Mus musculus: one gene and its partners. The protein of the gene in region 2 binds, or shares a complex with, the protein of the main gene of each other region. Links are inferred from orthologs where the notes say so. Each region holds a gene or a part of one and is shown on either strand. Other genes may lie near its edges. The genes, in order: Nod2, Akap13, Mapk14 and Map2k3.

Region 1 (7,811 bases), on a different chromosome or scaffold from region 2:
TTGGAATGGGTTTTGTAGGGAATAGTTTCTACTACCCTGCTTTAAGCTCTGGAAGGACTGAGCTACCAGCCCCACCCAGGTTCCCTCAGATCACAGGATGAAACACACACACACACACACACACACACACACACACACACACACACACACACTTATTTTTGATATGCTCAATGGCCAGGCTCTTCTAAGCCTTCCCTGGCTATTTCACCCTTCTTTTCACTTCCAGCTCAGCACCCTAAATCTGCCCTCAACTTTCGTTGCTCAGTTAGTTACCTTTAGTCCCAGCTCAGCACCCTAAATCTGTCCTCAGCTTAGTTGTGTTTCTAATCTCCCACCTGCTATCCCAGGCCCAGTCTGGGAAGCAATCAATGGCCACTCCATCCTGAATCTCACATGGCTAGTGGCTCTTTCTCCCTCTGAAGCATGGCGGAACTCTTCTCTTGTGTCTGCTAGCCTGCCTGTGGGAAAACCGCAAGTCCCGCCTATGCAGCCCAGCTCACTGGCTGCTAGCATCTTTATTGATCAATCAAGAACCAATTGGGGAACTGAACCTTCAGAATTCAGATGTAGATTCCTGATCAAAACACTCCCTTACAGGGTTTAGTTCACACACAGTTCCATATAACTGTTGATCATCCAAAGCAGCAAGGACAGGAATTCAAGCAGGGCAGGAACCTGGGGGCAGGAGCTGATGCAGAGACCACAGAAGGGTGCTGCTTACTGGCTTGCTCACCATGGCTTGCTCATCTTGTGTTCTTATAGAACCCGGGACCATCAGCCCAGGGATGGCACCACCCACGGTGGACTGGGCCCTCCCATGTCCATCACTAGGAAATGTCCTACCACTAGGTCTTATGGAGACATTCTCTCTATTGAGCTTCTCTCCTCTCAGATGACTCTAGTTTGTGTCAAGGTGACATAAATCTAGCCAATGCGATCCTGAAAGAGTGTGAGTGAACACGTGTCAGTTGGAGTTTTCTGGATTCTACTTGTCGGTCAGCGTCATGGTTCAAATGTAAAATGCTCCATAGGCTCGTGCTTTGAATACTGGGTCCAATAGGTGTGCTATTTGGTATAAAGCTGCAGACTATAACTTCAGGCTTTTCCTCCTAGCCACTTAGTTCCCTGAAATAATGATTCTGAGACCAGTTATTTATTAATAAATGCTTAAGCCATACGCTTTGGCTTGTTCTCTGACTAGCTCATAACTCCATTATCCCTTTTATTCTAATCTGAGTTCAGCCATGTGATGGCTGGTTTCCTGCCTCATCTTCTTATGTCCATCTCCTCAGTATCCTGGGGCGAATCTCTCATGTTTGTTTCCCAGAATTCTCTCCTGGATGTTCCACCTCCGATTTCCTGCTTCAGCTTATTGGCAATAGGCTTTTTTTATTGATAGGCAATGCTTTTACACAGTGAGATTCTCCTTGCAGAAGCGCCTTTAGAAAGCGTGTGTGTGTGGGGGGGAGGCAGCTGGTAGAAATGGATCACTATGGGCAGACCTTTGAAGGCTATGTCTGGTTCCTGTAACTCTCTGCTTCCTGGTCCAGAATGGAGGTGAACAGTCTCTACCATGCATTTCTTCTGCCATGAGCTAGGTTTCCACCATGCTCCCCAACCCCTCCTCCTCCATGGTAGACAGGTACTTGACGCTAAGCCTGACAAGCTAAATTCGATCCTCAGGACCCCACATGGTGAAAAGAGAACTGAGTCCTCCAAGTTGTCCTATGACCTCCACTCATGTGCCAAGACATATATGCATCCACATACATAATACCCACAGACAATAAATAAATGTAAACTATTTAAAATCAAAACTGTTGGGTTTGAAACTGTTTCAAACAGGGGACAAGCAGCTGAGGTGTCTATTTAACACATCAAAGTAGACCTGGTCTCCAGGTTCTCCCAGCATCCTTCAGTTCCTACCTATTTCTGGGTATGGATGGAATACTCACCCTCTACCCTGACCTCTCCAGCCCAGGGGCTGGGCTTCCCCCTCCCCCAGAGGCTCTTCCCTATATAATCCAGACATCTGCATGCTCGTTCTTCTTATCTCTCTGCCTCCACCCCCATCCCCTCCTTGTCTGTGTGGTAATTTCCCTGGCCCTATTCCTTGGCATCCGTGAACCTGCTCTAGAGCGGCTCCCAAATAAACCTTCCCTACTTTTAATTCAGCTTGTATTGGGTTATTTCATCCGCATAAGTACTGCATAGGTACTTAACTTGGAAGCAGTGTGAGGCAGTGGTTAGCGCACAGTCTTTGGTGCCTGAGGCCTGGGACACATCACGGTGTTGACAGGCTAGTGAATTTTTTTGTGCTTCAGTTTCTTCATCCGTAAGCCTGGGACAAGAGGAGTGCCCTACAGGTGGGGTTAAGAGACTTACTGAGAGCAGAGGCCAGCACAATACTAAGTGTCAGTTTCAGAAGGAACTCCCCAGACAGAAGGCTAAAGGGAGTATCTATTAGCATACCAAAGCACCAAAGCCTGTGGTGGCCTCCAGGCTCCCTCATAACCTGTAGCTCTCCATAGTTCTTACCCTACATCCCAACTCTAAGCTTCTCCAGCTTGTGGGCTTCCCTCCCCCAACTTCTCATTCCCATAAAACCCTGCCATTTGGCTGTGCTCTCTCTTGGCTCTCTCTCTCTCTCTCTCTCTCTCTCTCTCTCTCTTCTCCCTCTCCCCACCCCACATTGGTTGTCTCTTTCTCTTCCTCTCATGGTCATGTCCCCGCTGACCATGTTCAAGCTGCTATTTTCCCTGCTCTGGACTCTTCCAGATGCCTCCGGCTGTACCCTTCCTCATATCTACAATACAAATCTTCGGAACCTCAACCATACCTTGGAAGTGGTTTATACACAATTTCATGTCTGGGTCAATTATTCTCTCCTCTCCCTTTCTCTCTCAAATGAGAGTTCATGTACAAGTCTTTTTAGAAGTAACATTAAGAATGGGAACTAAACAACGCTGGCGAATTCCGATTAGGATGGTGGCAGAGCCCAGCCTAGGAGGCTACGTTGGAGGCAAGTGCTATTACACTTAGACCTCTTTCCTCAGCTTGCATGGGACTGACAACCAAGGGGAAAAGAGGAACTTTAAATGCCCTAACACCACCCAGCACGGCCTTCTGGGAATGCCTCCATTAAGACTGTAGCTGACTAAGGGCTTACAAATCCCTGAGAGGGTGCATCGGCTCCTACTGACACTGAGGGCTTTCCTAGCTCTTGTTCCCAGGACTCTGGTTCCCTTGTGATTGAAACCGGTCCCCAAGGGCAGAACACAAAGCACTGCAGGCAGGCCTGTTCCCGGATACCTGTCTCACCAGTCCCTAGAGGGAAATCAGGAGGGGTGTGGCCGCCCTTCCCAGCCTGCCAGAGTGGGCGGGGTCTCTGGCTAGGTGGGTGGGGCGATGGGCGGGAGTAGATCACTGAGGGAGTCCTAGTGTGGAGTCACCGCAAAACTGGCGAGGGATCCCCACGCTGCAGCTGGCGGTGAGTGCTTGCTTTCTGGTTCTGTGGTCTGCGGGTGATCGGGGTGGGTGGATATGTGGAAAGGAGGGTTTTCTCGCGGGGAGACCGAGGACTCCCGGGCAACAGCGCTTGGTTTTGTGGAGATCACGACCGTCACAAGTCCCATCGCGGGGACGCTGTTAACTGGCTCTGGAGCTGGCCTGGCTGAGCTCCTGAAAGGGACTCTGTTTCTCCTGGAAGCATCGACGGAGTAGATAGGCTGTAAAAGGAAAGGGATGTCTCGAGGGGAGCCACGGCAGGCTTTGGTAACTGAGAAGGAATAGGGTATTGGGACCAAATTGAAGCCCCCAGGATCCTTTGAAGTCTGAGGCGAGGCTGTGATTTGGAGGTGGCTGGGACAACGGAGGGGAAACTTGCAGGTGAGGTCCTTACCCAGAGGGAGAAAACCCTGCTTTGGGTCTTAGCAGGAACTATTCCTGGTTCAGTTCCCCCCACCCCCTTCTCTCTAACTTCTGTGTCTTTTTCAGAACCTGCAGGGTCCTGGCCTGGGGCAGGGACATTGGCTTTTCTGTATGTAATCTCACCCACGGTTGATACCCTGCAGGGGAAATGCCCCCTCCCTCATCTCTGCCCTCCTGAAGACCAAAGAGTCAGCCCCATTGGCTCTGGTCTGCTCAGTCTGTTGTGAGGCCTTTGGGGCTCCCAGTTTCTTGGCCACTTAATGCCAGTTGGCCTCCACATGCAGCTCCAAGCTGGCACTGGCTCCATCTTGTCCCCTCTCTCCCACCCAGGTCAGCATTGTAGGGTGGCCCAGTGAGCAGACGCTTACTGCTAACAAAGTGGCTTCTATAGCTGTTTGGCCAAAGTCTGTGCCTTGCAACTCTCTGGTTCCACAGCCACCCCCGCCCCCACGCTGTGTGGAACAAACACATCCTCAGCCCATGCAGACCCCATCTGTACACTGGGTGATGCACAGGGATATGGTGAATACATCATGCTAACACATGCCATCTCAGAGGATAGGAAGTACTGTGGGGAGAAAAAGCTGGGACAGGGCTTAGGGGCTACAGTTTTGCATAGCATAGGAAGGCACCTCTGAGAGAGTCACCACTGAGCAAAGTCTTAAGGAGGGGATTGGCAAGTCATGTGACTATCTAGGGGGAGCTAGAGAAAGCCCCCACTGTGTGTGTGTGTGTGTGTGTGTGTGTGTGTGTAGGTAGGGAGGGAGGAGCTTATAGAAGCATGACAGACCAGAGCAGGGTGTAAATGGAGGGATGAATTGGAGGGCTGGGGGTGGATGGTGGGTGGCAAGGAGGAAAGGGGTGGCATCTGAGGTCTCTTGTATTGGGCTTGAGTTCGCCATAAAAGCTTTTGGCTTTCGCTTTGACTCTGATGGGAGCCATGAACAGATAAGGCTCCTGCTCTGACTTAAGGTTTGGCAGGGTTCATCAAGTTGTGAGGCTGAGACTGCCTATGGAGGTTCATGGCAGATGAGGGAAACATGAAGGGAGGCTATAGAGCTTACATCATGGCATAGAGAGAACCTGTGGCTTTCAGATTTGGAGTCTGTTGGAGGTTGGATGGATAGTCTGTGATGCTGGAGAGAGGCAGCGTCAAGCATGACTCTGAGAGTTCGGGGCTGCCTTCGTCTGCGAGGGGAGCTGATAGGAGGGAGAGCCGGTGATTGATTTTGTATTTGTCTTTTGGAGATGTTGGTAGGTACCACATGATGTTGAATAGTGTCCAGTAACATTTCAGTCATCGTTATCTCACAGTTGGGAATTGGGCCTGTGGGCAGAGACGCATCAGTGATTTGTACTTGGGGGTGGGGTGGGGGACTAGGAATCAGCCTTGGAGGCAGAATGGATAGAAAGAGCAGCTGGGAAGCAGGGAAGAATATCAGTGAAACCCTTCATGACTTCCAGAGAAGTGCTCCAGGGAGGAAGGTGACAGAAAGAAAGGCAGAGAACAGAACAAGTGGAAATCATGGTTTGTATTCTCTCTGGTAGTGGGTGTGGGAGGGGATGAAGGAGATGGGGTGGATTTGGGAATGGCAGTTCAGGTCCAGACAAGGGAGGGCAGAAATGAAGGATGAATTGATCTGTTTGTTCTCTGATGGGAACTGGTTTCCTGGGGAGCAACTCAGACATGGGGCAGGAGAGGAGTTAGTTAGTGCTCCAGGGAGATCTTAGCCAGTCAGGACTAGGACAGCTCAGGGCTGCATTCTGCTCTCCTCTTGCTGCCTTCCTTTCTCTCCCGTCTGCTGGAGGCCTGGGGGCACTGCAAAGGGATTTCAGCCCTTGAACAAAGTCCTCAGCTAGGAACTTCAGGAACACCAGGCTACCTATGATCCTGGATAGGAAGGAAGTGCCAAGAAACAGACATGGGCCTTTGTTGATACCCTTGACCCTCTGTTTCAGAAAGGAAGTGACCCCCTTTGTTTGGGTTGCACCTTGCAGAGCCTAAGAGTGACTCCAATGTGGCACTAGCCTGGTAGAGAAGGCAAGGATGACAAAGCAGTGTGTTTAGCCTGGGGAGAGCAAGTCTGACAAGGGAGGAAGGTACAAGAACGAGATTCTGGGACTAACTAATAAAGAACTTCTTCAGCCTGTCAGGAGGACAGCTTCAAGCCCAGGTCTTCTTTTCCAGCTCTTTGGGATGAGATAGGGAGTTGGCCTTCTTAGAGGCAGAGGGCTGGCAGAATTGGTCTTTGGGGATATGTCTTGCCTTGTGTCTGCAGGAGACTGGCAAGATGGGAATTTCCAGCTTTAATAGAAGACAGAGTACCAGACCACGTAGCTTTCCTGCCTCGCCCTGCCCGTGTCCACACTGCTGATGTCATTGCCTGGGTGTGGATGGTTTGGGTATACGGCAGGCAGGCTCTTAACATATCTGGGGAGGGCTTCTGCTCTCTCAAAGTTGTTTCTGTCTGGGCAAGCACGTTTATTGGAGACACATCACACCACCAGGGTCTTTGAGTGAAAGCCAGTGTAGATGTGCCAGTTTTTGTGCCAGGACTGCCAAGAACTAGCAAGTTCTTCTGGGCGCTGGCCTGCCACCTCAGGCTTCCTGCTGAAGCTTTTGGGATTTCCCCTAGGGTGGGTTGGCCTGATCAGAGACTGCCTGTGCTATGCCTCTGGGATTTTTGGCTCATTGTGCTTTGCAGAAGAAGGAAACAGTAAGTGTCTTACCCAGCCTCCTATAGGTAAAATGAGCCAGGCCAATCTCAAATCTTTTCATTCCCCATAACTTCCTGCTGTACCTCAGGCCTCAGGCAAGAGTGCTAACATCACCTCTGTGCTTTTCTCTTAGTAGGAAGGGGCACTGGTTACTTTTCTCAGGACCCAGGCAGGGGTGCTGGAGTAGCACCCTACCTCTGGCTGGTTTGCACAGTGGAGACTCAGTCCACGATTTGGCCCCAGCTCATGCTGCCCCTTGCTGTCATCTGCCTCTTTCCCATCCTTGGCTCCTCCTGGGCTGAGTACAGGGTACAGGTGACATGCTTGGCCAGTGAGGACTCTAAGCGCCACAGTAGGGAGACCTTCTCTCCTTCGCTGCCAGATACTCAGGTAGCTTCGCTGCCTCGGCTTTTCCCTGTCTGGTCAGCCCCAGGCTTCCAGCCTGCGTGTCCGCAATGTGGTGTTGAGTTAGAGATTGAAGATAGCCCCAGAGCATTCCAGCCCCAGGCTTCTCTGGCTGGGCTTGGAGTTAACATCCCTAGGGCTTCCAGTGAGCCCAGTGCTTTGCCAGCATAGGGGTGTCAGACTGAGGGAGACCTAGCCTGCAGTGTGGGCCTGCTGTAGAGGAAGGTATCAGAATCTAACAGGAAAGACCTGGGCTCCCCAGGCCATTTCCAGCTGCCCCCACCCCTTCTCCTCAGCATCTTAGAATGTCCCAGATTTTGAAAGGAAGTCTTTCTTCCGCTTCCTCCTTGCCTGTGCTCTTTCGCTTTCCTTTTCTCCGGGTGTACTGGCTGGTTTTGTGTGTCAATTTGACACAGGCTGGAGTTATCACAGAGAAAGGAGCTTCAGTTGGGGAAGTGCCTCCATGAGATCCAGCTGTAAGGCATTTTCTCAGTTAATGATCAAGGGGGAGGGCCCCGTGTGGGTGGGACCATCTCTGGGCTGGTTGTATTGGGTTCTATAAGAAAGCAGGCTGAGCAAGCCAGGTGAAGCAAGCCAGTAAGAAACATCCCTCCATGGCCTCTGCATCAGCGCCTGCTTCCTGACCTGCTTGAGTTCCAGTCCTGACTTCCTTTGGTGATCAACAGCAATGTGGAAGGTATAAGCTGAATAAACCCTTTCCTCCCCAACTGCTTCTTGGTCATGATGTTTGTGCAGGA
Region 2 (7,376 bases):
TATTTTTATATTATTTATTTTTAAGACTTATTTTAATTTTGTGTGTGTGCACACACATGTGTGCAAACATCCCACCCCCATGCATGTGTGTTGTGGGGGAGTATGTGCAGATAAATGCAAACAGGAAGGTATCAAATTCCCTGCAGCTAGAATTAGAAGTGTTTGTAAGGTGCCTGATGTAGGGTGCTGAAAATAGAAATCTCAGGCCCTCTGCAAGAGAAGTATGCATTCTTCAGCAGAGCTATCGCCTCGGTCTTTTTTTCCCCCCCCCTTAATTAATAACTTCTGATCAACTGTAAATTTTATTTAGTTTTTTCATTCTCTCTCTCTCTCTCTCTCTCTTTCTCTCTCTCTCTCTCTCTCTCTCTCTCTCTCTCTCTCTCTCTCTCTCTCTTTCTCTCTCTCTCTCTCTCACACACACACACACACACACACACATTCCAGGGGCAGAAGACTAGATTAGATAGTTAGGCTGTCTTCATAGTTCCTATAACAGTGTTGTGTTATTTTTATAACATTGATGAACTGTGATTGTTTTAGCCATTTCTTTCTTATTTGCTGTATTTGTTCATATAATTAATTTTTAAGAACCTTTCCACTATGCATAGTAATGTGGGTACAATCTCAGTAGTTAGGATGGAGAAACGGAAGGGTTGAGGCGTTTTGAAGCTAGCCAGTCTATATAGCAAATTTCTCTACATAGTGAGACCTTGTCTCAGAAAAGATGCAAGCAAAACTAAATTAATTTTAAGGTGCTAAAAACCATTTTTGATCATATTTTTAGTGCCCTCAAGCCATAACACCCTTGACAGTAGTTAAGAGTTTGGTTTGGCTAATAGTATACACTCTCTTTTCTTTAATATGCTGTATGGACAGCACAAAACCCACTTTTTATCTAACTGATACATAGAATTCCTAATTCTAAAAGCGTAGATATGTTGGATTGAACATATTTTGGGAATGTAGTTACGTGGCTGAATATTTTGCTTGAAAGGGGTTCTAAAACTGATTATACTGTGTCTTTACATCGGTATTTGAGGCAGATGGATAGAAGGCCCGGAAAGACAGTGCTTGTCCAACAAGACTTGGCTTACAGGTATCAGTGACATCTTTTTCTCTTAGTCAGCACACCCCCCCACACACACTTTTCTTTTCATGATCAATTTTTAAAAGGTATCTTTGGTTTCCTCCTAGAAAACAAACTTGAAGCAGATGGACAATCTCATGCCATTAATGGTGACAGCACAAGATTCGTCTTGTGTGCCCAGTGTACCAGAGACAGATGGCCTATTCCTTCCCTGTGTACCAGAGCCTTCTGACCACCAGCATCCTCCTTTTGAAGAAACTAAGAGCACTCTGTGCTGCCAAAGGAGTCCTGGGAGGATGGCTGAAAGTTCCTGTGATTTGTCAAGCATGGTTGAGGAAGAAAATGTCATCTGTTCTCATAAGAAAAATAAAGATGTGGGGAGAAAGGGGGAAGAGGCGGAGCCAGCATCTGCCATGGACTCCGGGTCTGCATCTCATCAAGACAGCTGCCTTCAGAGCGTACCCGACTGTGGAGTGAAGGGCAGAGAAGGTCTTCCATCCTGTGGAAACAGAAACGAAGTAACTGGAACAAACTATTCTGGAGTAGCCACATGTCAGCAGCCACTGAGCAGCAGGAGCAGTGTGCTGCAGGATGCCATGGTCACAGAACCAGATGCATGCCAGCACTCTTCTGGAAGGGAGCTACCAGACAGCTCTTCAACAGATGTTGGTGCCCCAGAAAAGGCAGGGGAACTGGAACATAGCCTGCTTACCCCAGATGCTACCACCCAGAACAATAAGCCTCAAGTAGGGGAAGGCACAAAGGAAAGACTTGAGAATTCAGACAGTAGCACAACTGAAACAACTGCTGTTCAAGTTTTAAGTGAACCCATGGAGAAAGCCGATATTACAAACCATGTCTTTGCCACCAGTGCCGTAGGTGTTAACACTCCTGCTGAGGCTTCACCTGCATTGAGTTCTGAAGAAATCCCCACTGAAAAACCAGGAATGGAAACTCAAGAGAGAGGCTGTGAGGGGGGAACCACAAGTGACCAGAGCTCCCCGGTGCTTCCTGCTGCTGCTATAGAAAACAAGGTTTTAGGTGGACAAGAACCTGATACTTCCATAGCAGGCTTTTGTAAGACAGCATCACCTTTGGATTTAACCATGCCAGGCCCAAGTTCAGATGGGATGCCAGAACAGAACTCAGAGTCTCATGCACGGCCTGCTCAAAGCCTAAGTGGCCAGGCGCTGCTCTGTTCTACAGCTGAGGCTGGCACGCCTTCTGCTGAGGCTACACATCAGCCGAGCACAGTGACTTCTAGTGGCAGGTTGGAAGAATGTGGCAGTGGTAAAGCTAGCCTGCCTGAAAGCACAATGGTGCAGCCAAGCACGCAAGAACTTTGCACCACCCTCTGCCCAGAAGACCCACAAGCTGACACAGTCACTTCTGACACTGTGAAAAATACCCAGAAATCTGTGGGGGTTTGTCATCTCTGTGTTTCAGATGCAAAGAATCAAGGAAATGGTTTGAAGCAAGATACACCTTTAACGAACGTGCTTGAGGATGTTCCACGTCTGCCTTCAGTTGTCTCCCAGACTGAGAAAGAACTAGCGCCAGACCAGGTATCACCTCCAGCCAGCAGTTTCTCTCTGGCAAGCAGTCCAGAGAGTGAATCAGTAACCAAAGATGACGCACTTTCTCTTGTCCCCTCCCAGAAAGAAAAGGGAACAGCAACTCCTCAGCTCCATAGAACTACAGCTTGTCGAGATGGCCCAGATGGAAGAGATTTGAGTGATACCGATAAGGTAGGAGACGGGGCCACTGACCCACCTCCATCCTCTGCTGTAGAGCTTCGGACCAGCATGGGAAATACCAGCCCTGTAGGCATTGGTGGAGAACAGGAGGGTTCCAGCCCAACAGCAACACTTGAAGTGCTGAGTGACTCTTTACTGCATAACGTGGATAAAGCTGCTTTGGTTTCTGACTTTACTCTGCCTGAAGAAGGTGTCAGTGTAGTGGTTCCAGAAAGTTCCACAGCTCTGGGGCAAGATGGCAAAGATAGAGCAATGAGCTGTTCTTCAGTTAAAGAAGACGTGCATTCTTCAGAAATGTCAAGGGAAGACCAGAGAACACCTCCCTCTGGGCAGGAGATACCAGGACTCTGTGAAAAACCTATGTCAGCCCTCTGTGCCGAGGAGAAAGCACAGCAGCACACACCCTCTGCCTGTCTGAAAACAGAAACTAAAGACATCAAGGAAGTGGCCCCACAGGTCTCCCTGCTGACTGAAGGTGGGGCTGCAAAGAGCCTGGTGCCACCAAGAACGAGTCTGTCTGCCGATTCAAAGCAGAAAGCCTCGAGTACAGAGCAGAGCGGCTCATCTCTGTTGCCAAGTGGGCTGCCAGGTGCGTCTGAGGCACTCCATTGTAATCAGCCTTCTGCTCTCGATGTTGTCGTAGAGAATACTCAGTTCCAAGGGGAAACCAATGCTTGTGAGGTAAGCAGAAGTGCGATGGAGGATGTTACAGTGGCTGATGCTTCACCAGCTACTGCTGAGCCCAGAAAAAAGGATGCATCACACTGTATCAAAGACATCCCAATTTCAGAGTTGTTAAACCAAGAGAAGCAAATGACTCCAAGTTTGCCAGAAGCTTTCCTGGACAAAGGTGTCACTGACTTACAGGAAGTCATAACCCCAGAGATAGAACCACTTGATTGCAAGAGAGAGACGCTGGAGGGAACAGACCTTAACTGTGCCACGAGTAACTCCAAAGAGACCCCAATCGAAAAACCAATGCAGCCTCTTGCCAGGGACCTCCCCACAGAGACAGGGCTCTCAGTGATCAATAACAATGTCCCCCAAGCTGACATGAAGCAAGTGGCACAGGCTTCCATCCCGGCAGAGGAAAGTAATGCCACTACTGTCTCAACCCAAGCTGCAGATGTGCCTACCAGAGCAGACTCCATAGAGGAGACCGCCACTAGGATAGTGGAGGCCGTCATCAGGCAAGTCAGGGCCTCCAACGCACTGATGGCTAAAGTAGAAACCCAGAATCCGTCACTCTCCAGTCCAGAGACTAAGCAGCTAGAGAATGCTTACACAGAGAGTGCATGCGCTTTCCTGCCTGGGGAGACCCCGCAGATAGAGAAGACGCACGAAGACACCACCGGGCAGTGTGGTGCTGAGACAGAAGAACCAGAGAAAATTATTCTACCTGAGTCAGCACCAGGTAAGCAAGGCAGTTTATAAGACTTAACAGCTTAAGAATCATGTCTCTGTTGTGTACTAGAATGTCGATATTGTTGGTTTGTAGTCCTACTTGCTCAGTCATGTAAGTTGCCAAGTTAATAGTCACTGCTGTCAGAAAACACGTGTCATCTTAGGTTGGACAGATTTTACTTCCTGTATTACAGGTGCAAAGCTTTCCTGTTGTTGTTGTTTTTTCAAGCCTACCTTCTCTGTCACACTGGAGCCATTGCAGTTTCTAAATCCGGAAGACAGTACATGGATCTCAGACGGCGTTAGATAATCAAACAGCTTAGTTCTTTTCTTTAGAACCCCAGAATGTAGCGCTGAAATGAATGTGCTTTGTTTACAGATTGGAAACTTTTCCAAGTCATAGCTGTCTGTATTGTAAGAGAATTTAAAGTTGGGCCGGCTTCATGAGCAGCTGTTTTTGAGAAGTACTGAATTAAATGAACATCTAAAACGGTGATATTAGGTCATTGCTTAAGTTGGGGGTGTGTACTCTTCCTCCTTTTCCTGCCTGAGAAACAGACCTCCAGGTTTGCTGCTTTGCTTTTGGGCAGAGTCTGGGAATTCAGGGTCCTGCACAGCACAGGGGATAGGATACAGGATTTCCGCCCAAGCCCAGTCCGCTGCGCTGCTGTCACCAGGCAGACCTGGTGTCTGCTTATCTCGGTGAAGCAGCTGCACTAAGCAGATTGCTCAACACAAGCTGCCTGTTCCATCGATGGGTAACTATGTCCTAAAGAGAGTGTCGAGAAGCCACCATTGCTCAGTGGAATGAACTCACTGGATAGAACTTCTTATGGCCTTTGAGACTGAAGCCGAAACTGTATTCGGAATGGCTGTCACTCTTGTCTTCTGAAGTCCGGAAGGTCAGTTGATGCAGACGTTTATGCCGCCACCACATGCTACCCTGTACTGTGGCTCTGATGCTTTTGTGATAGGTGTTTTGTTTTTTTTTTTTTTTTTTTTAACTGTTGGCAGTGCTTTTAAGAATAGTGAATAGTACATGTTAGAATTGTGGGTATGGGGTATGAAGAGAGATGAACAAAAATAAAGAAATTGTTTCTGGAGAAGGGGGTTCAAACACGGTAAGTACTATGCCCAGATGAAGGGCTTTTGGACTGTTTTAAACCCCAACTTCCAGAGCAGCAGTTACATGACTAAGGAAGCTGATGTGGGGGTCTTGGTGACTTCAGTTTTTAGACTGAGTACTGTTTCAGGCTGGCTTCTATCTTAACACTGAAATGAGGTCTCTAATTTTTTTAAAAAGGCACAACAACAAGTCTATTTTGGGGACCTTGGCAGGTTGGCATTTCAGAAGCATGGGAGTGACTGTAAGCTGATGCCTGGCTGTTTTTCCTTTCTTTGGGTGCTCTGTCCTTGGCCAGCCTGGATGGGATTATTTCTCCTTCTTGTTCTGTGATCACAATTTGATCCTAGTAACTGGGAACTATGAAGTGTGTGTCTGTAGCACTGGATCTGAAAAGGTTAAAAAAAAAAAAAAGGAGGGAGGGGGAGAGAGAGAAGGAAACTGGCAGAGTCTTAGACGTCTGTTCTTAAGTGTATATATAACTGTGGTGAAGATACTAAGAAATGGTACAAAGTTTTTAAGGCTTGAAGAAGGAAGTTTTAAAAGTTAATGTGATTTTGCTGTGATATATTTTGTGTCGGTGAGTTACTTGTTTTGTTACCCAAAGGACTTATAACGGGCTTGGTGCTCTACAAAAAAAAAAAAAAAAAAAGTAGCCACGGTGAAGACATTGGTGCTTTCTTCACGAAATAGCCAGGGTTGAGGAAAGTCCCTGGTCACTTTGCCTTAAAAAAAAAAAAAAAACACCTGCATGTGATCTCATAGCCAGGGGTATTTTTTGTGGAGGTTGCATTCCACTCATGGATTGCTTTATGAGTCAGTCAGCTGTTGATTTGGGAGAAGCCTGTTAGAAGGCAATGTGAACCTTTGCCTCTTCAAAAGCATTGATTGATCACTGTGCTGAGCAAACCAAGATTGTCGGTGCTTGACTAAACCAAGCCAGTTCTGCAGTCTCAGTAATCAGTGTTTACTTTTGTAGCTGGTACATAGCTCCCATTGCTGGGGCATAGGAAAGTTGGGGTTATGCTAAAAATCACATTCTAACCATACCCCTCTTTTATAATACACACAGTTATTCTCTCAGAAACGTTTTCCTGGAGGGATTCCTTAATCAGATTCTTCAAAATAAAACTTAATTGTATGAAAGCTAACAGATTTTCATTCTCTGAGTAAGCAAACATGTCTACCTATTTTAAATTGCTAGTAAGGTTGTATAATTATAAAGGAAAAGACAAAGAATTTTGAATGTTCTTTTGTTAGGAATGTGACTTTCACAATCTAAGACCTTTTAGAGGGTCACACTTGCTGTTAGAGTGAATGATCTTAATGTTTTATTCTTGGATGATAGATACTGTGGTATTTTAGACGGGGTGTTTTATTGCCAAAGTACTAGTGTCGCTGGATTATCAGCAACCAAATAAAAATGAGACAGCATTTCCATTTGTATTTGTAATATCAGGGTAAAATATGACTATTCAAGCAATCTTCCCCCCCTTAAAGAATGTCAGAAGACTAGATTTGCCTTAGCTTTTGCTTGACGGTGTGGTGGCTCAGTAGAAGAAACTATGACTGTTAGGGTCTGCTGAGAGCATGGTCAGTATGGGGCAGACTGTTAGATACCAGAAACAAAACAACAAATTTAAAAAGCTGTTTTCAGAAGTAAAAATATTTCTGGTTTTTGGTTGGTTGGTTGGTTATCTGGGTTGTTTGTTTATTTTTCCACTGTTTGCTTTTGGAAGAAATAATAGTTTACTGAAATTGTCTAGTCTTGTCGATTAAGCCTACGCATAGATCAGGGTTGGAAACCTATTTTTAAGAGATTGTAGTCCCAGAAGCTTTACCTCATTACCAGTGGCTTTCTGTTTTCACTGTCCAAATAGCTTTTGCTATAATGGTGTCCAAAATGGACTGCCATGTTTCAGATGTTAGTCTGCACCTTTGTAGTCCATGAATGTACTGTCACAAGAGTGTTCATAGATTTTCATGAGAAGTCAGTGGTGAAATG
Region 3 (7,816 bases), on a different chromosome or scaffold from region 2:
GGGGGGGAGCTCAGTATAGTGGCAGCACAGGCGCCTTTAATCCCCGCACTCCAGAGACAGAGGCAGGTGGATCTCTGTGAGTTCCAGGCCAGCCTGGTCTACAGAGTGAGTTCCAGGCCAGCCATAGTGAGAGCCTGTGTACACAGAAAGAGAAGCAGGGGCACAGCAGAGCTGGGGAGCCTGATGTGGAGCAGTCAGTAGGGTGGAGCAGCCTGGAGGCTCCCTGCACTACCCGCTACTTCTCTTACTTGTCTTTATTGTGAGACAGGCTCCCCACAAAGGTGGAGTGTAGTGGGCTTTGGCATCCTCCTCCTCCTGTCCCCAGCTAGCCAATGCTGGGTTATAGGTGTAAGCCACCATCCATGCCTTAATTCTTTTTGATTCTTCCTTCCTGGGCTGGGGACCCATCTGAGGGCCTAACACATGCAGGGCTACTCTACCCTGAGCTGTAGTCCCAGCCTTTATCTTTAAGCAGGCTTTCATTGCTAAAAAACACTTAAAAAAAAATACAAGCACGTTAACACAGCTCTTTTTGCTTCTGCTACCCTCAGCCATCTGTCCATCCATCCATTCACCCACTCACTGATTCGTTTAAAATCTCTATTTGGGATATTTTAAATGCAAAAAAATGTAACCCGATTTATAAAATTTTGACTCAAAGGACCAGAAACCCTCAAAATTAGTTAAGGTACAAGAATATCTTTTACCTAATTAAGTCATCTTTCACATGCTTTCTAAAACCATAAGACAAAATTCACTTCCAATTAAAAAAAAAAAAAAAAAAAAGCACTTGTATTTCCCAACCAAAAACCTCATTGCCTGTGACTCTCAGTTTTGGTGGAGAATGTATTGGGGATGGTCTAGTGGCAGGAGATGCTTGAAGGTGGCAGCCCTCCAGCTGCTGACAGGTCACATAAACACCTTCCCTTAATGCTAGTCAGTGTGATACCAAGCAGGTGTGGTAGAGAGATCCTCATTACTGGGCTGAACAGTGGAGACTTCATGGGGGGACCCAAAGTCCAGCAATAAGGACTAGAAGACAGAGAAGGAGGAGAGGGGACAGAGGGTGGGCTTAAGGCAGAGAGAACAAAATGAGCAGAACAGTAAAGTCTGGAAGCAAAGGGGGCCCTGAGCTGCGGCCTGATGAGGACACAGAGAGTGGAAGTGTGGGGGGCCCACAGTCCAGTTCCTTCAGCTGTGGACATCACAGAGATGCGAATTTTTGAAAGGATCCAGTATGCAAATTCCATGTTGTCTCTTGCCATTTCGGTTTCACGCAGCCTTTCTATAAGGAGAGAGAAGTTCCAGGGACCACCGCTATTCATTCATTCATTCATTCATTCATTCACCCACTCCTTGTGCCTGGGACACTCCTGGCTCTGCAGGTGACCCAAGCAGCCACGCTCTGGGACGCGAGCGGGCTGTCAGCTCCCAGGCGGCAGCCAGAGCTCCGGACCGCTCCCGACCCAGGCTCACCTGGTTTCCGGTGGCCCGCAGGAGCGCAGACGCTGGGGACAGACTCGGCTCCAGCCTGGCTGGCGGCAGCGCTGCGGACGCGGAGGCCGGCAGTTCCGGAGCCGTTGCTGCAGAACCCGCGGGCGTTCCGGCTGTGCGGGTGACGGGCGAGGATGGCATCTGGGCCGAGGAGAAGGGGTCCCTGCTGCCCTCCACATACCCGGATCTTCTAGAAATAGCCACGAGAATAAGATTTCCCCTTTCTCCTGCTCGGTGTAGGCATGGGTGGATGTGGGTTCTTACGGGTCTAACTTTCCCCATTCACTTTTATTAGCTTTCTCGGCTTCTACGGAAGATTCCACTAGGTGGGAATGCAGGGTCGCATTGATCTTGTAGAGACTAGAACCAGGGCCTAAGAAAGCTCAACAGACTTACCTAAATGAGATGCGGTCAGAATGCTCGCCCTAGTAGTTCTCCATACTCTCAGAGGCATGAATTAAGTCTTTAATACCCACCCCCCAATTTTCTTTTAAATTTCTAAACTTTGGATGGCTCTAAAGGGCAAGAGTCGGTCTCAAACCCGAGTGATGGTTTTTGGGGTGTTGCACATACGGTCTCATCACTACACAGCAGAGGCTTGGTCTCCTGGTTTTTCCAAATGCTAGAATTACAGGATTTGTAAATACAAATAAACAAATAAATAAATAAACAAATAAATAAATAAGAAGGGTCCCCTGGTCTTTCCAAATGCTGGAATTACAGGTTGTGTATAAATAAATAAATAAGAGAAAGGTCTCTTGGTCTTTTCAAATGCTGGAATTACAGGTTCTGTACATATAAATAAATAGTATGAAAGGGTCTCCTGGTCTTTCTAAATGCTGGAATTACAGGCTGTGTAAATAGATATATATGTATGCATGTATATGAAGGGTTTTCTGGTCTTTCCAAATGCCGGAATTGCAGGTGGTGTAAATATAAATAAATAAATGAGAAGACCTTCCTGAAATGGAATGACCTACTTGCAGTGTGTGTGTGTACCTTCCCCTTCCAGTAGTGGGTATTGAACCCAGGGCCTTGCAAATGCTGGTCCCCAGCCTGGAAGTGGCCATTCATGATGTCTACCTCTGACCTCGTGCATTGGAACTCCCTGTGGGTCCCTGGAACCTCCTTCTGCCACTTCTGCCTGAAAACATGTAGGAGCGCCTGGAGGGAGAGCCTGGGCTTTGAGGCAAGACTAATATTTGCCTAGGGGGCAGGTTTCACCAGCATCCCGAGGTGAGCCACTTGTCCTTGAGCAGACCGGAATGCGACAGCTTTCTGGACAGGGCCTGTCTGTTCTTTCAAGTTGTTCTTGGAAATTGACGACTCTAGTGAGCAGGTTGCTCGGAGTTCAAAGATCATTTGGCTCTCTTCCCCGACGCTGTCACAGCGGCTTTCCGCCATGGCGCCAGGCATTCGCCCGTGCGACCACAGAGAGGCGCGCGCGCCCCGCGCTGCGGCCTCCACCCTTGGCGCCCCGGGGAGCCCAGTCCCCGAGAGTTCCTGCCTCGGCTCCCCAAGCCGCGTCCCTCTTCTCGCGAGATCTGCCGGCCCTGCGCGCTCTTCTCGCGACCCCCCGCCCCGTGGGCAGGTTCCATATTGGGTAAGATCTGGATTCAGAGCGGGGCCTCCTTGGAGCTGTTCTCGCGAGAGTTCCGCGAGAGGCTCCCGGCCGCTGCCTGTGGGATCGCCGCCACTGGAGCCCAAGCGGGGCGCTGAAGCGCGAGCGGGTGTCTTGCGGCGTCGGCGTGCGCTCCCTCCCCGGGGAGCGGCTGCAGGAGGACCGCGGCGGGAGCAGCCTCGAGCCGTGCAGCCGGCTCCGGCACCTTGCCGACGCTCGTAGGAGCCGCCGCGGCTGACAGGGGCGGCGGGTCGCAGCCTCCACACCTGCGCGGGTGGCGGGCGCGGGGTCCGGTCTGCCGCGGGCGGGCGCAGAGGAGAGCGTGCGGCTGCAGGCAGGAGCCCCCGCTCGGCCACCTCCTCGCCCCGCTGCTGCCGCTGGAAGATGTCGCAGGAGAGGCCCACGTTCTACCGGCAGGAGCTGAACAAGACCATCTGGGAGGTGCCCGAACGATACCAGAACCTGTCCCCGGTGGGCTCGGGCGCCTATGGCTCGGTGTGGTGAGTGTCGCCGGGCCTCGGGTTAGGGGTGGGGTGGGGGGACGCGGTGGAGCAAGCAGGGTGGCCCTGCATGCCTGAGGGCCAGGCCTGTCCCCACAGCTCAGCGATGCGCCCAGCGGCAGGAATTCTCCTCCGGGCGTGTCTGGGGGTGCAGGGGGCAGCTGGAGCGGGACGTGTCCTGCACCCCTCGCCCTGCATACGCAGGTCGGGGGCGAGCCGTGTGCGGGAGCGGGTCAGCTGCGGACGCGGTGGGATGCTTCTCTACCCTGCGCTCTCCCTGCTCCCAAGACTGGCCCTCCCGGGGGTCCTCTGCTGCAGCGCGGCCTCAGGACCCTGCCTCCGGGTACCGCCACTCGGGACGCGGGAGCCCTGCCCCGGGGAGCAGACGAGCTGGGCGGAGCTCCAGCGAGGAGCTGTAGGGCAAAGCCTGACCCGGGGACTGCGGTCACCTGAACGAAACTTGCAAGAGAAAGCGCTCCTTTCCCGGAATTTTTTTTTTTTTCCTTTTTTCTCCCCCTTTTCCCATTTTTGCAAGCCTCCATCGAAAAATCCTGTCTCAGGAAACGTTCCTTTGGGATTCGCACTTGAATTAGCAGCACCCCGAAGAGCTTAAAATACCGACTTTATCTCGGGGACCACGGTGCCAGCTTGCGTGGTGTGTTTCCGATTCGGTTGAAAGCGTATTTCCTTTTCGGGGAGGGAGGGTGGCAGCGCCTTGCAAGGACGCTCCAGCTCGCCGCTTAGTCACATACCACTGCTCATTTCAGTATTGTTTGACAAAACAGTTTTCCATACCGAGCAGAGGGGCGCCCCTCAAGATCAAGAAGGTAGGACTAGAGCTGGAGGTGTAGATAGCTTTTAATTGAAGTAATTCATGGGGGTGCTTTTCTTTTTTTTAAGTCCCTTAGAAGATTTGCGGAGTTTTATCAGCTTGTAAGTACCGAGGTACGTGGTGGTTTTCGGGAGATCCTGGAACATAGGAAACGATGCTTTTTAGCTTTCCTTAACACCGGGTGGGGGAGGGGGGTAGGAGTGGGGGGGGGCCTATTTTAGTTCCACTATGGCTCTCCCTGTCTTGCCTGGAACTCAACAAATTTTGTCTGCCAGCTCTGAGAATAAAGGCTTTTGCTACCATGCATGGCCCTGGGAGCAGGTTTCAGATTAAATTTCTACCATAAAACTTCCACTCCAGAAATGTTCTAAGGAACTTTGAAGGATTCACGCAGTATCTTTTACTATATCTTTTAGAGCTCCCTATCTGATAGTAATCTGATAGATTCAGTAGATGAGCCCTTCCTGTGTTTTAGTGACTTACATGCATTCATGGTTTCCGAAGGAGTCTGGGAAATGGTTTTTGTTTTGGAACAAATTCCAGGCTTCTGGATGTGCTAACCTTTAAGTATGAGTCCTGTGTTACTTAAAGTCATATCGTGAATTTCCTGTTTGGTAGAATCTTCTGGGTAATTGAGATTGTGCAATTGTGTCCAGCAACAGATCACATTGCATTTGCTGGCTCAAGCTGCTTAAGCTATGTTGCAGATGATACCAACTTGGACATCTTTCTCACGAGTCTACAGAATGGCAGTTTACACTTTAAAGGAAATGTCAATAATATCTCTCATGTATTTGTGATTGATCTGTTGCATCATTGTTTCTCTAATAGTTACCAGCTCCTTAAGTATCTCCATTCTTCGTTCCTAATTGGTACAGTACCAGGCGTTTGTTTCCATTTGAATGCTCAGGGAGTGAAGCTCAGGGGCTTCTGGGATGGTGAATTTGCAAGGTTTCCTGTGGACACCACTGTCCTGGCAGAAGAGCCAGCTTCACAGTGAAGTGCCACAGTGAAACCAACTCCACTTCCTCTAGTGCTGCTGTTTTCTGTGTAATATAATTGAGCACAACCTCACAATTAAATAGACTTCTACCAAACAGCTTCTTAAACATAGGTAGTGCTGGCCCAGTGATGGAACGCAGTGGGACAGCCCTGGCCTTGCCTGTGGGAGGCCCTGCATTCCAGCCCCAGCAGCAGTGCACCACACAAAGCAGGTTGCTTGAAATAAGGGCCCAAAAGGTATGCAGCAAAAATCCTGTTTCTGCTCTCAGCCCTGCATGCTGGTCTTCCAGAGACAACCACTGTTTAGTTCCTTGCCTGACATTCCAGAGAGGTGTAGTTTCTAGCGTAGAGATTTACTATGTAGCCTATTGATGAGGAAAAGATAGCTGAAATTGTGTGTGACCCAGCAAATGTCACCTTCAGTTAGATTTGCAAGTGTTAACTTCTCTCAAGTTATTTGAAATTGTGTTTTCAATTAGCTTTTTAGGTGTGACTGAAAAATACTTTTTTGTTTGTTTTTTGAGATGAGCTGTCCTAGAATTCACATTGTAGACCAGACTGGCCTCCAACTCCGATCAGCTGGACTTTGCCTCTCAGAGTGCCTGGATTAAAGACTTGCAACACTACACCTGACTTCTTGAATTTCTTTTTTAATCCACTTTGAGGCCTGTGTTCCCTTTCTTCACCTTCGTTCTCTGAGATAGTTTGATGTTGGGGAATAATGAAGTCCATTTGAATGGATATAATTGAGGGGGATTTAAACTGAGCTCTTGAGAAGAGAGGAGGCTGTTCTACTGGTGACAGTGGAATAAGTCAGGAGGGACCTGAAGTCTCTTCAAAAAAGGAATCTCTGAATTGGACATGATACACTTTGATTTGTAACTTAATTTTTTTCTTTTAAGTTTAAGATTAATTTTAATTTGTATTATGCAGTGAGCGACAGTAACAAAAAACAAGCAGCAAACTGTAGTATTACCAACTGTGACTCAAAGTTGAATGAGAGTCTAGAAATTGAGAATTGGCTTGTTTTTACAAATATCTTTCTTTTTAAAAGTGTAAAGGGAACTAAACTAAGTTCTCTAAGTTTTAAGGAACTGTATTTACTGCCTGAAAAGGGAAACAAGCAAAATCATTAAGACCACATTGTTGCAAAGCATTGATTGTGTGGTTTGGGACATAGGGGAAAATCTTTGTGGTGAATTTAAGGAAATACAAACGGGAACGTCAGTGTCTTTCCTCTGGGGAAAGGGGCTCTCCAGCCCCTTGCTGGACACACTTGGGTACCATGCCTTGGGAGTGAGAATTAAGAATTACTTCTAGATCATTCACAGCTATTTATTCATTAGTCTGGATTACATAACACCAAACTCTGGCTAGAATCAAGGCTAGATTCTTGAGCTAAAAGTACAGAACGAGACAGCTCATTTTGTCATTGGGCTTGTAGAAGAATGGATGGATTTAATGGCTGCATTTTATGGGTTGCTTGCTGTGTTGTAGGCATGGAGATGCTTAGTTTATGATCGGCATGTAGACATGTAACAAACTTGTAGCTAAACATGGTAATTTCTTCTAACTAAATCTGATTTAGCATGCTATATAGGACAAGATTATTCCAGTAAATATAACAAAAATAAATGAAGCTTTTTTTTTTTAAGTATTAATAGCCATTCACCATTAGTTTTAATTAGCCAGGGAAAAAAAATAAAACTCCACAATTAGGTATGACTTTTCACTCTTGACGACCGAGAAGGCTGGGCCTTTACTATTAGTTGTAATAATAGCCGGTCTCTCTTCCTTCCCTTCCTGCCTTTCTTCCTACTTTCCTTCAGGACACAGCCTTCTGGTCTTGAACTCTTGATCCACTTGTCTGAGGCTCTCTAATGCTAGGGTCATAGGAGTGGGCCACCAAGCTGCTTTAGCTGACCTATCTCCCATTTACTGTTTTGTGACTAAAAGTAGACTAGTTAACTGGATGTTACCAGTCTTAATAAGCATTTAGGTTTGAGGCCAACCTAGCCTCACTCAGCAGAGTGAACTCAGTGCCCTTTCTCAAGAAAAACAATAAATAAACAAAAAGTGCCCACCAAATATGATTGGCAAGAGGGTGTGTGTGTGTGTGTGTGTGTGTGTGTGTGTGTGTATGTATGTGTGTGTGTGTGTGTATGTGTTTAGATTTATTTATTGTTATTTGTATGAATGTTTTGTTTGAATGTGTATTTCTACACCACAAAGTGCTTGGTGCCTCTGGAGCCCAGAAGGGGGTATTGGATCCTCTGGACTTGGAGTTACAGAAGGTTGTGAGCCACCAGAAGCCCTTGCCAGTGCTCATAACCACTAAGCATCTCTTCCCCAGCTCCCGGCAATGGT
Region 4 (7,376 bases), on a different chromosome or scaffold from region 2:
GCTGGTGATCTTGGGTAATGTAACAAAGCAGGCTGAGCAAGCCAGGAAGTAGCACTCCTCGTGGCTTCTGCTTCAGTTCTTGCCCGGATTCCCCTTAGTAAAGGGGTGCAACTGGAAAGCTGTAAGCCAAAATAAACCCTTTCCTCCCCAAGTCCCTTTTGGTCATTGGTTATTGTTTTATCACATTAATAGGTGCATCGGAGCTCTCGGCCAGGCAGTTCTAGAAGGCAAAAAAGTCCATCCCCACACCTGGACTTAGCTTTGTCTGATCCAACTCAATCCTAATGGTCTGGGCCCTGCTCCTCCCTCCAAACCAAGGGTCCTTTCAGCCTCCACAAGCCAGGATCTACAGCCTCATGCTACTGAACCTAGAGAAACACAAAAGGAACCTACAGCAATAGGTTCCTATTTAGGGGGGGACCAGGCACTGTTTTGGTTTTTTTTGTTTTGTTTTTGAGTGTTGGGAAGGATATTGAGACAAGGTCTCATGAAGGCCAAGCTACCCTCTAATTTATTATGAAGCTGAGGATAACCATTTAAAAAGGATGCTACCATAGGAATCATATCACAGGAAGGTGCCATCATGCCCAGCTAAGAGTTTGCCTTCTTGATTTACTTGCACGGCAACAACTAAGCTTAGCATTGCCTGGGATTTCCTGATCTACACCAGTGGCTCTAGAGAAAAGGCTGAAATCACAGGATACAGAGAACAATCATGATGGTCAGGAAAGGGTCCTACAACTCCCAGATATCCTTGTACTCATATAGAAATGTTTGATGGAACCCACAGACCCTATACAGACAGACATCCATCCCAACAGGCCAGCAAGTGCTGAGCCCAGCCCCAGACGTACCATGGTGATGCCGAGGCTCCAGACATCAGACTTGACATTGTAGCCCTTCTGATTCAGTTCAGGGTTGATCCTCTCAGGCTGCAAGAAAGACCAGAAGGCTTGAACACCCAACAAGGCTCCCTCAATTAGACCTTTTCTCTTCTACACCAAAACAGAATACCATTAGGTTCTCCTGCCTGCATGATATAGGCCAGCAAGAGCGAGAGCCAACCCCTGCCTTCCCCCCAGGCCACCAGTCTTAAGGATCCCCATGTTCCTAACAACAGAGAACACAAGTTCATCCAAACAGGGATCATGGAGTATAGGTAAATGGTGGCAGGGTCTCTAAGACTGGAGGTACGGCTGGAAATAGCCAGCCCACTGCACAGAGGCAAAATCTTGTCCTGGTCTCCACCTTGCGGGGATGCCCTGACTCACGGCCATGTAAGGCTTGCAGCCAGCATCCATTGTCTTTGCCACAGAGTCCACCAGGTAGCCACTGATGCCAAAGTCGCACATCTTCACATGCCCTTCCTTGTTGATGAGGACATTGGATGGCTTCACATCTACAAGAAGAGCAGACCTTTCTCAGTCCATGCCAAATGGGATGCTACCTTCTCCAGTGCCCTGTGGGCCAGCAGCATGCTACCCAATGCCCCAAGGATTAGCCAAGGAAACAGCGGCAGTGAGATCTGCAGCACCAGGCCCCATCGCTCGGCTGGATGACAAATCAAAATGAACTTCAGCCTATCCCAACCAAAGAGAAACATCTGAGCTCTGGAGACTCTACCTTGAGGCTACCTAAGCACGTCACCTGCTATGGACACAAATCCAGCAAGCAGAAGGTAGTGGGTGAACAATGAGGTGGAGTGAAGGTATGCGGATGGGTCTGTGCATGCAAATGAGGAGCCCCACCCATCCCTGTCTCACAGGAGGCAGGAGCCTCCAAGCAAAGGGCCACATGGATGTGAAAAAGACAAAGATGCCCCAGAAAAGACGGGAAGGTTCCATGCCAAAGAGTCAACAATGATGACCCGTGGACAGAATGGGATGGGTGCTGGTCATCGAAGTCCACTTAGCCTCCTTCGTTTTCTAGGTACAGTGCAACCAAGTTAATGGGAGGCTGATACTTAATTAAGTATAACCCTGGAGGGGGAAGCCCAGACTAGTGGCCATGGGGGCAAAGGAATCCCAGAAGAGTCCAGGATAGTCATGTGTGGGGTAAGGGGGCTTGTATCAGAGTCCTAGTGTGACATGCCACAACCTAGGTGCTCCACGGCACAGGAAATGTAAATATGAATGAGAAGCGGGCCATGGGGCTGGAGAGATGGCTCAGTGGTTAAAGCACTGACTGCTCTTCAGAAGGTCCTGAGTTCAAGTTCCAGCAACCACATGGTGGCTCACAACCATCCATAATGAGATCTGATGCACTTACATATAATAAATAAATACATCTTTATGAAGAGAGAGAGAGAGAGAGAGAAGCGGGCCATGGAGCTCAGAAAAAGCTGGGATCCACTTAGTTCCTCCTATTCAGAGTGCAGCAGGCAGAGCCAAAGGCACAAATGCAGAAAGCGGCCTATTCCCCAGCAGGTATATCACAGTCTGCCCCTCCCTGAGCCTCTGTGGCTGATGGAGGACACTGACCTCTGTGGATCACAGACAGCTTGCTATGCAGGTGCTCCAGGGCCCGCACGATCTGAATGGGGCAGGAGAGGCAGGGCTGCTATTATTCCAGGTAACAGAAATCATAACACAGCAGTAGAACCCCATCTCCTCTAAACACACCCCAGCTCCTGCCTACGCCCCAAATCTGTCCCTCATCCTGGCTGTCCTAGGACAAACATGTCAGCTTCCTGCCTTCCTCCTGCTCCACAAATCCCAAGCAGTGCCTCCTAAGGGCTTTTACCAAGACCTACCAGGCCCCCAAGTTTCTCTCACTCCCCCATGAGCCACCTCTAAGAGATTAGACAAAAAAAAAAAAAAAAAAAAAAAAAAAAGAGCCTGAGGCACAGGGTGGTTTAAACGCTTCCAGATGCAAATAGGATTAAAGGGCATCCTTGATACGACTGCCCGCCCTGTTTCAATACTCAAACCAGAGTTGCTGCCCTCCTCTAGAAACAGCAGGCTCAGAAAGCAAACATCTCCCCAAAGCAGCCTGGACCTCCAATAGCTGTCAGGCGGCATCTGAGTACAAGGCAGTGGGACACACGGCACTTTCTTCAAAGTGGGTGGGAACGTGAGAGCCGCACTCACGACCTTGGAAGCAGGGAGCAGTCCAGTCTGAAGAGCCCCATCCCTGGGGCCTCTTCAGCAAGGTACTGCTCTCAGGCTTCAGAAGTACTGAGTCTTAGAGGGGACAGCTACTCTGCCAAAATTCAGCCACACAGCAGGTCCTGTGCATGCTGGGTAGAGCGAGGCCACTCACAGACACAGCGATCTCCCCCAGGATGTCTTCCGGAATTTTCATGTTCTTCTCCAGCACCTTCCGGTAGAACTTATCCAGGGAAGTGTCCATGAGCTCCATGCAGATCCATACATCCCCCTGTGAGAACATCCAGTGCTTAGCTGGTCCCCCAGTGCTGCCCAGCCCTGGGCAGTCTACAGACTCCCAGGCTTCTCCAGCCTTCATCTTAACAGCCTCGCTGTGAGCACCAGGTCCAGCCTCCACCTGGGAAGGGACACGATGACCCTTCTCACCACACTTCTCACCCCTCGCCATCGCCGTCTGCCTTTCAGATCGGCCTCTCTGGCACCTCACCATGCAGTTCATGCTCCCCCGCCCTAGTCTCCCCGCTCTGTGCCCTAGTATAACAGTGTTCCCAAGCAATCGGGAACCTAGTGTGTCCTGAGACTTTTAAGTCAGGACATAAAGGGACAAGAACCGAATTTCTTCACTGGAAAATGACCTTTCTTCTCCCCAGCAAACCCGCATAGCCTTGGGATGAGCTGGCTGACACTTACACAAGTTGCTCAGTCCACCACATGAGATGCATAAAGTGGGGTCTGAGCCACCACTGGGACTTGAGAGGGACCCAAAGGAAAGCCAGGGCAGAGAAACATCACGGACCACTCAAGAACTCCAAGATGGCAGGTCATCATGGGAAGTCCCAGTTCCATCCTGACTCTGGTGCGTACTATATGCTTCCAACGGCAGCTCTGTGCTCTTGCTCCTAGACCCTGCACCCTGCTTTACCCTCCATTCCTCTACCCTAACATACACCTAGACTCTAGCCCAGATCCTCACCCCTTCACAGTGCTTCTCCCCTGGGGGCTTGCCCTGAATGGCCACTACGGGGCTAACAGAAAGCAAACGACCACAAACAGAAATCTCAGCTGCCCCGGAGCTCCAGGCCCCTGAGCACAACCTGAAGAGAACTGCTCAGACACCTGTTTAATCTTCAGACAGGGAACCTGAGGCAGAGCGGGTCAGGAACAGGAAAGCCTGCCTCTCAAGAAGAGCCCAGCCAAGCTGCATCAGGTGAAGGGTGCTCCCTATACCTTGAGTATAACTCCCCTATACCCAAAGGTCCCGGGAACTCCACACAATAGGACTGAAATGGCAGTCGTGATTGGCAAGAGGTGGGCAGAGACAGAGCCTACCTCTCTGAAGAGGGCACCATAGAAGGTGACAGTGTAGAAGCAGTCGACCGTGCGCATGTTGATGTCTAGGTCCATAAGCAGACGTTTCTGCTCCTGTGTGTTCACTGTGGCCCGGATGCGCTATAGGAGAGCCACATGTCAGGGCCACGGATTAGGCTGTTCCCCTAACCCAGTCCATGAGGGCCAGGAACCTTGGGGAATCCATGGCCCTGACTTGTCTGAGAAGTTCTGCCTCAACGCTGGTGATGACAGTGAGGGACAGAGCCACAAGTAGACAGTCACTCTGAAGCTCAGCCAGTGCCTCCTCCAGTGCTACTCCAGGTAGGGTGAAGCCCTGCTTACCTTGACAGCCATGATGGTACCACTCTGAGCATGCCGCACTTTCTCTACCACCCCATAGGCTCCACGACCCAGCTCTGAGATGGTCACCAAGTCATCAGCCTCCACTTCGAAGTTCTTAAGAGGCAAAGGGAGAGGTGATTGGTAGGCACCAAGCTGGAAACTGGCTCTTGTCCCTCACCCAGAGAAAAGCAGAGGGCCAGCTTGTCAGATTTGAGCTCGCAGCTACTATACGCCATGTACTATACGCTTTGTGACCCAGTGGAAAGAACTGAGCCAATCTGACCCTACCGCTGATCTCTATAAAATGGGTGCAAAACCAAAAACTCGGAGACTATGGGAGACGTCTTCCACACACATCTCAGCAAAGGGAGCTATTAGTCAATCATCTACTGACCCTTTGTGGGAGTTCCCTCCCCTGAGTGAGAGACATGGGATTACACAACTGGACTAACAGAACACCAGGCAGTGACAAAGGCTTGGGGAGGGAGGATCTTCCAAGAAGAGGCTCTCGGCCTACTCTGCCTGGTACACATCCCCAAATCAGGCTTCTCAATAGTAGGTGGCCTTCCAAGGCACTCAGGGGTATGGACAGTATGGAGTCTAGGGTCTGACCTGGGGTCTGGGGAGCCCAGGAGTCTACATGTCCCACATGGTGCTTCCAGGTGGTACAGATTTCATGTGGGATTCATAGCCCACACTCTGAGGTAGGCAGTGTGGCAGCTCTGCGCTCCTCACACCCCTCCCTATAAGGCAGGTGGAATGTACTTCTTCCAGAGAGGAGGTCTAAGGGCAGATAGCCCAGGGCCACAGCCACCAGCATGATAAGCTACGGTAAGCTCCTCCCTGAGGCCCAGCTCCAGCTACCTCTCAGTGGCCCTATGGAGGCCTCTCAGTGTCTAGTTACCACCTACTCTGTCTCCGATAGTGATGAAGGTCCGGGAGTCCAGGTTCCGGGGGGGTCTGTGGAGAAAGCAGATCCACAAGCTTCTCTGAGAGAAGGAGCTATAGGGGGGTGAGGGTGAAACACACTGGCCATGGGGGCAGCTTACAGTCACCTCAGTCCAGTGACTGTTAGGCATCCACAAGGTAAAGTGTAACGGTGCAGCCCTGACAGAGACCCCAAGACAAGGACTGGGAAGGCATGGGACAAACAGCCAATGCTCCTGAGACCCTCTGGAGCCACCCAGGGCGGGATGAGAAGAGAATGCTCTCTCACCCACCTCTGACCCCCGTATTCCTGCTTCTTACTCATACCCCTGGCCTCCACTAAGAGGCCTCTCCAAGTCTCAACAAAGTGAGAAACTTAAGGCAGACTCACGTGGGGTTGGACACAGGTGGCTTGGACACGCAGGATATCCGTAAGTCCTTTTTCCTTTTGGATTTTCCTGAAGTGGAGAAAAGACGGGGATCTGATCAACATTCAGCCCTGGGCTGTGCAAAGCTAGGGACAGAGGTCACTCAGATCTCTGGTACACACACACACACACACACACACACACACACACACACACACACACACACACACGTCCGAGAGTCAGTATGATCAGTACCCAGAGAGCCTCAGGGCTTTGGGGTAGGCAGAGCATGGTCCCACTCAGTCTGGGGAGCAGGTTCAGTCCTCCTCCCACAATAGCAGAGACAAGCCCCACCCTCCTGGGAGCTGCCCTGCAGCTGGGAGGCATCAGACAGCTGTGCCTATAGCACGCGCGCGCGCACACACACACACTCAAATGCTCAGCTATGCATGAGTTTCCAGGCCTCTTACTGCCAGGAATGGAATGTCGTCTGCCCAGTACCAGTGTTCCCAACCACACAAAAGCTTGTGTCCTACGTCTCTTGTTTTGGGCTGAGCTGTGTCTTTCAAAACTTATATACTGAAGTCTTGACCCCCCAGTACCCAAGAATGTGACCTTATTTGGAAAATGGTAGGGTTTTTTTGTGGCCAATTAAATCAAAATGATATCATTAGGGTTGGCCCTAATCCTGTGACAAGGCTGGTGGGTGTGTTTGCATTTGTGCATGTGCACATATAGGGGAAGAATCCCAGGTAAGTGTTCTCCCAACCCCACTGGTATCCTTATAATAGAGGAAACGGGTACAGAAAAGGAAGATAAGTGGAGCCATGGGAGATGCCACCCCTTAGCCAAAGAGAGGCTTGAAAGCAAGCACAGGCAGAGCCTTCCTGGGTGGCCTATGAGAGCTGCCTACCCTCCTCTCCGATACCTGCTGCGGAAGCCGTCCACTCTGTGGCCGTGGGACTTTATGACAATAACCCTAGCCGCACTGTGTCCTTCCACGAGGGTCAACGTTCGTGGGGGAGTGCCTGAGACTGAGTTCTAATCCCTGCTCACTGTATTTCCACACTCAGAGCCTCAGTTTGCCCACTGGTCAAACCAGAGCATAGACACCCACTGGGGCAATGAAGACATGGCCTGGTGCACAACCGGCATGAACGGACTTCCACCTCCTATTTGTAGGGCCATGTGGCTCAGCGCCCACCACTGGCAGCAGGCACTGACTCTTTCAGTCTCGGCTTCTCCAGGAAGCAGGGGCTCTGACCCCCACCAGGGGAGAAAATGTGAGAGAGAAGCAGGATGA

Evidence for each region.
Region 1: Akap13 (region 2) and Nod2 share a complex: the UniProt entries of both Homo sapiens proteins name them as parts of the signaling complex. The link is inferred for Mus musculus from reciprocal best matches to the Homo sapiens genes AKAP13 and NOD2.
Region 3: Akap13 (region 2) and Mapk14 share a complex: the UniProt entries of both Homo sapiens proteins name them as parts of the signaling complex. The link is inferred for Mus musculus from reciprocal best matches to the Homo sapiens genes AKAP13 and MAPK14.
Region 4: Akap13 (region 2) and Map2k3 share a complex: the UniProt entries of both Homo sapiens proteins name them as parts of the signaling complex. The link is inferred for Mus musculus from reciprocal best matches to the Homo sapiens genes AKAP13 and MAP2K3.

What each region holds. Positions count from the first base shown.
Region 1 is NC_000074.6:88,643,920-88,651,730, forward strand, and holds the start of Nod2 (nucleotide-binding oligomerization domain-containing protein 2), read left to right. Parts: upstream 1-3,427; 5' UTR 3,428-3,490; intron 3,491-7,727; exon of another isoform or gene 7,728-7,750; intron 7,751-7,811. UniProt on the Homo sapiens protein: Pattern recognition receptor (PRR) that detects bacterial peptidoglycan fragments and other danger signals and plays an important role in gastrointestinal immunity.
Region 2 is NC_000073.6:75,607,291-75,614,666, forward strand, and holds part of Akap13 (A-kinase anchor protein 13), read left to right. Parts: intron 1-1,194; coding exon 1,195-4,270; intron 4,271-4,319; exon of another isoform or gene 4,320-5,150; intron 5,151-7,376. UniProt on the Homo sapiens protein: Scaffold protein that plays an important role in assembling signaling complexes downstream of several types of G protein-coupled receptors.
Region 3 is NC_000083.6:28,688,241-28,696,056, forward strand, and holds the start of Mapk14 (mitogen-activated protein kinase 14), read left to right. Parts: upstream 1-3,101; 5' UTR 3,102-3,499; coding exon 3,500-3,615; intron 3,616-4,327; exon of another isoform or gene 4,328-4,442; intron 4,443-4,515; exon of another isoform or gene 4,516-4,560; intron 4,561-7,816. Other genes in the region: Slc26a8 (testis anion transporter 1), read right to left, coding at 1,477-1,684, 1,891-1,948. UniProt on the Homo sapiens protein: Serine/threonine kinase which acts as an essential component of the MAP kinase signal transduction pathway.
Region 4 is NC_000077.6:60,940,667-60,948,042, reverse strand, and holds part of Map2k3 (dual specificity mitogen-activated protein kinase kinase 3), read right to left. Parts: intron 6,513-7,376; exon of another isoform or gene 6,329-6,512; intron 6,164-6,328; coding exon 6,097-6,163; intron 5,739-6,096; coding exon 5,690-5,738; intron 4,893-5,689; coding exon 4,779-4,892; intron 4,557-4,778; coding exon 4,437-4,556; intron 3,379-4,436; coding exon 3,262-3,378; intron 2,533-3,261; coding exon 2,481-2,532; intron 1,400-2,480; coding exon 1,272-1,399; intron 933-1,271; coding exon 855-932; intron 1-854. UniProt on the Homo sapiens protein: Dual specificity kinase. Is activated by cytokines and environmental stress in vivo. Catalyzes the concomitant phosphorylation of a threonine and a tyrosine residue in the MAP kinase p38.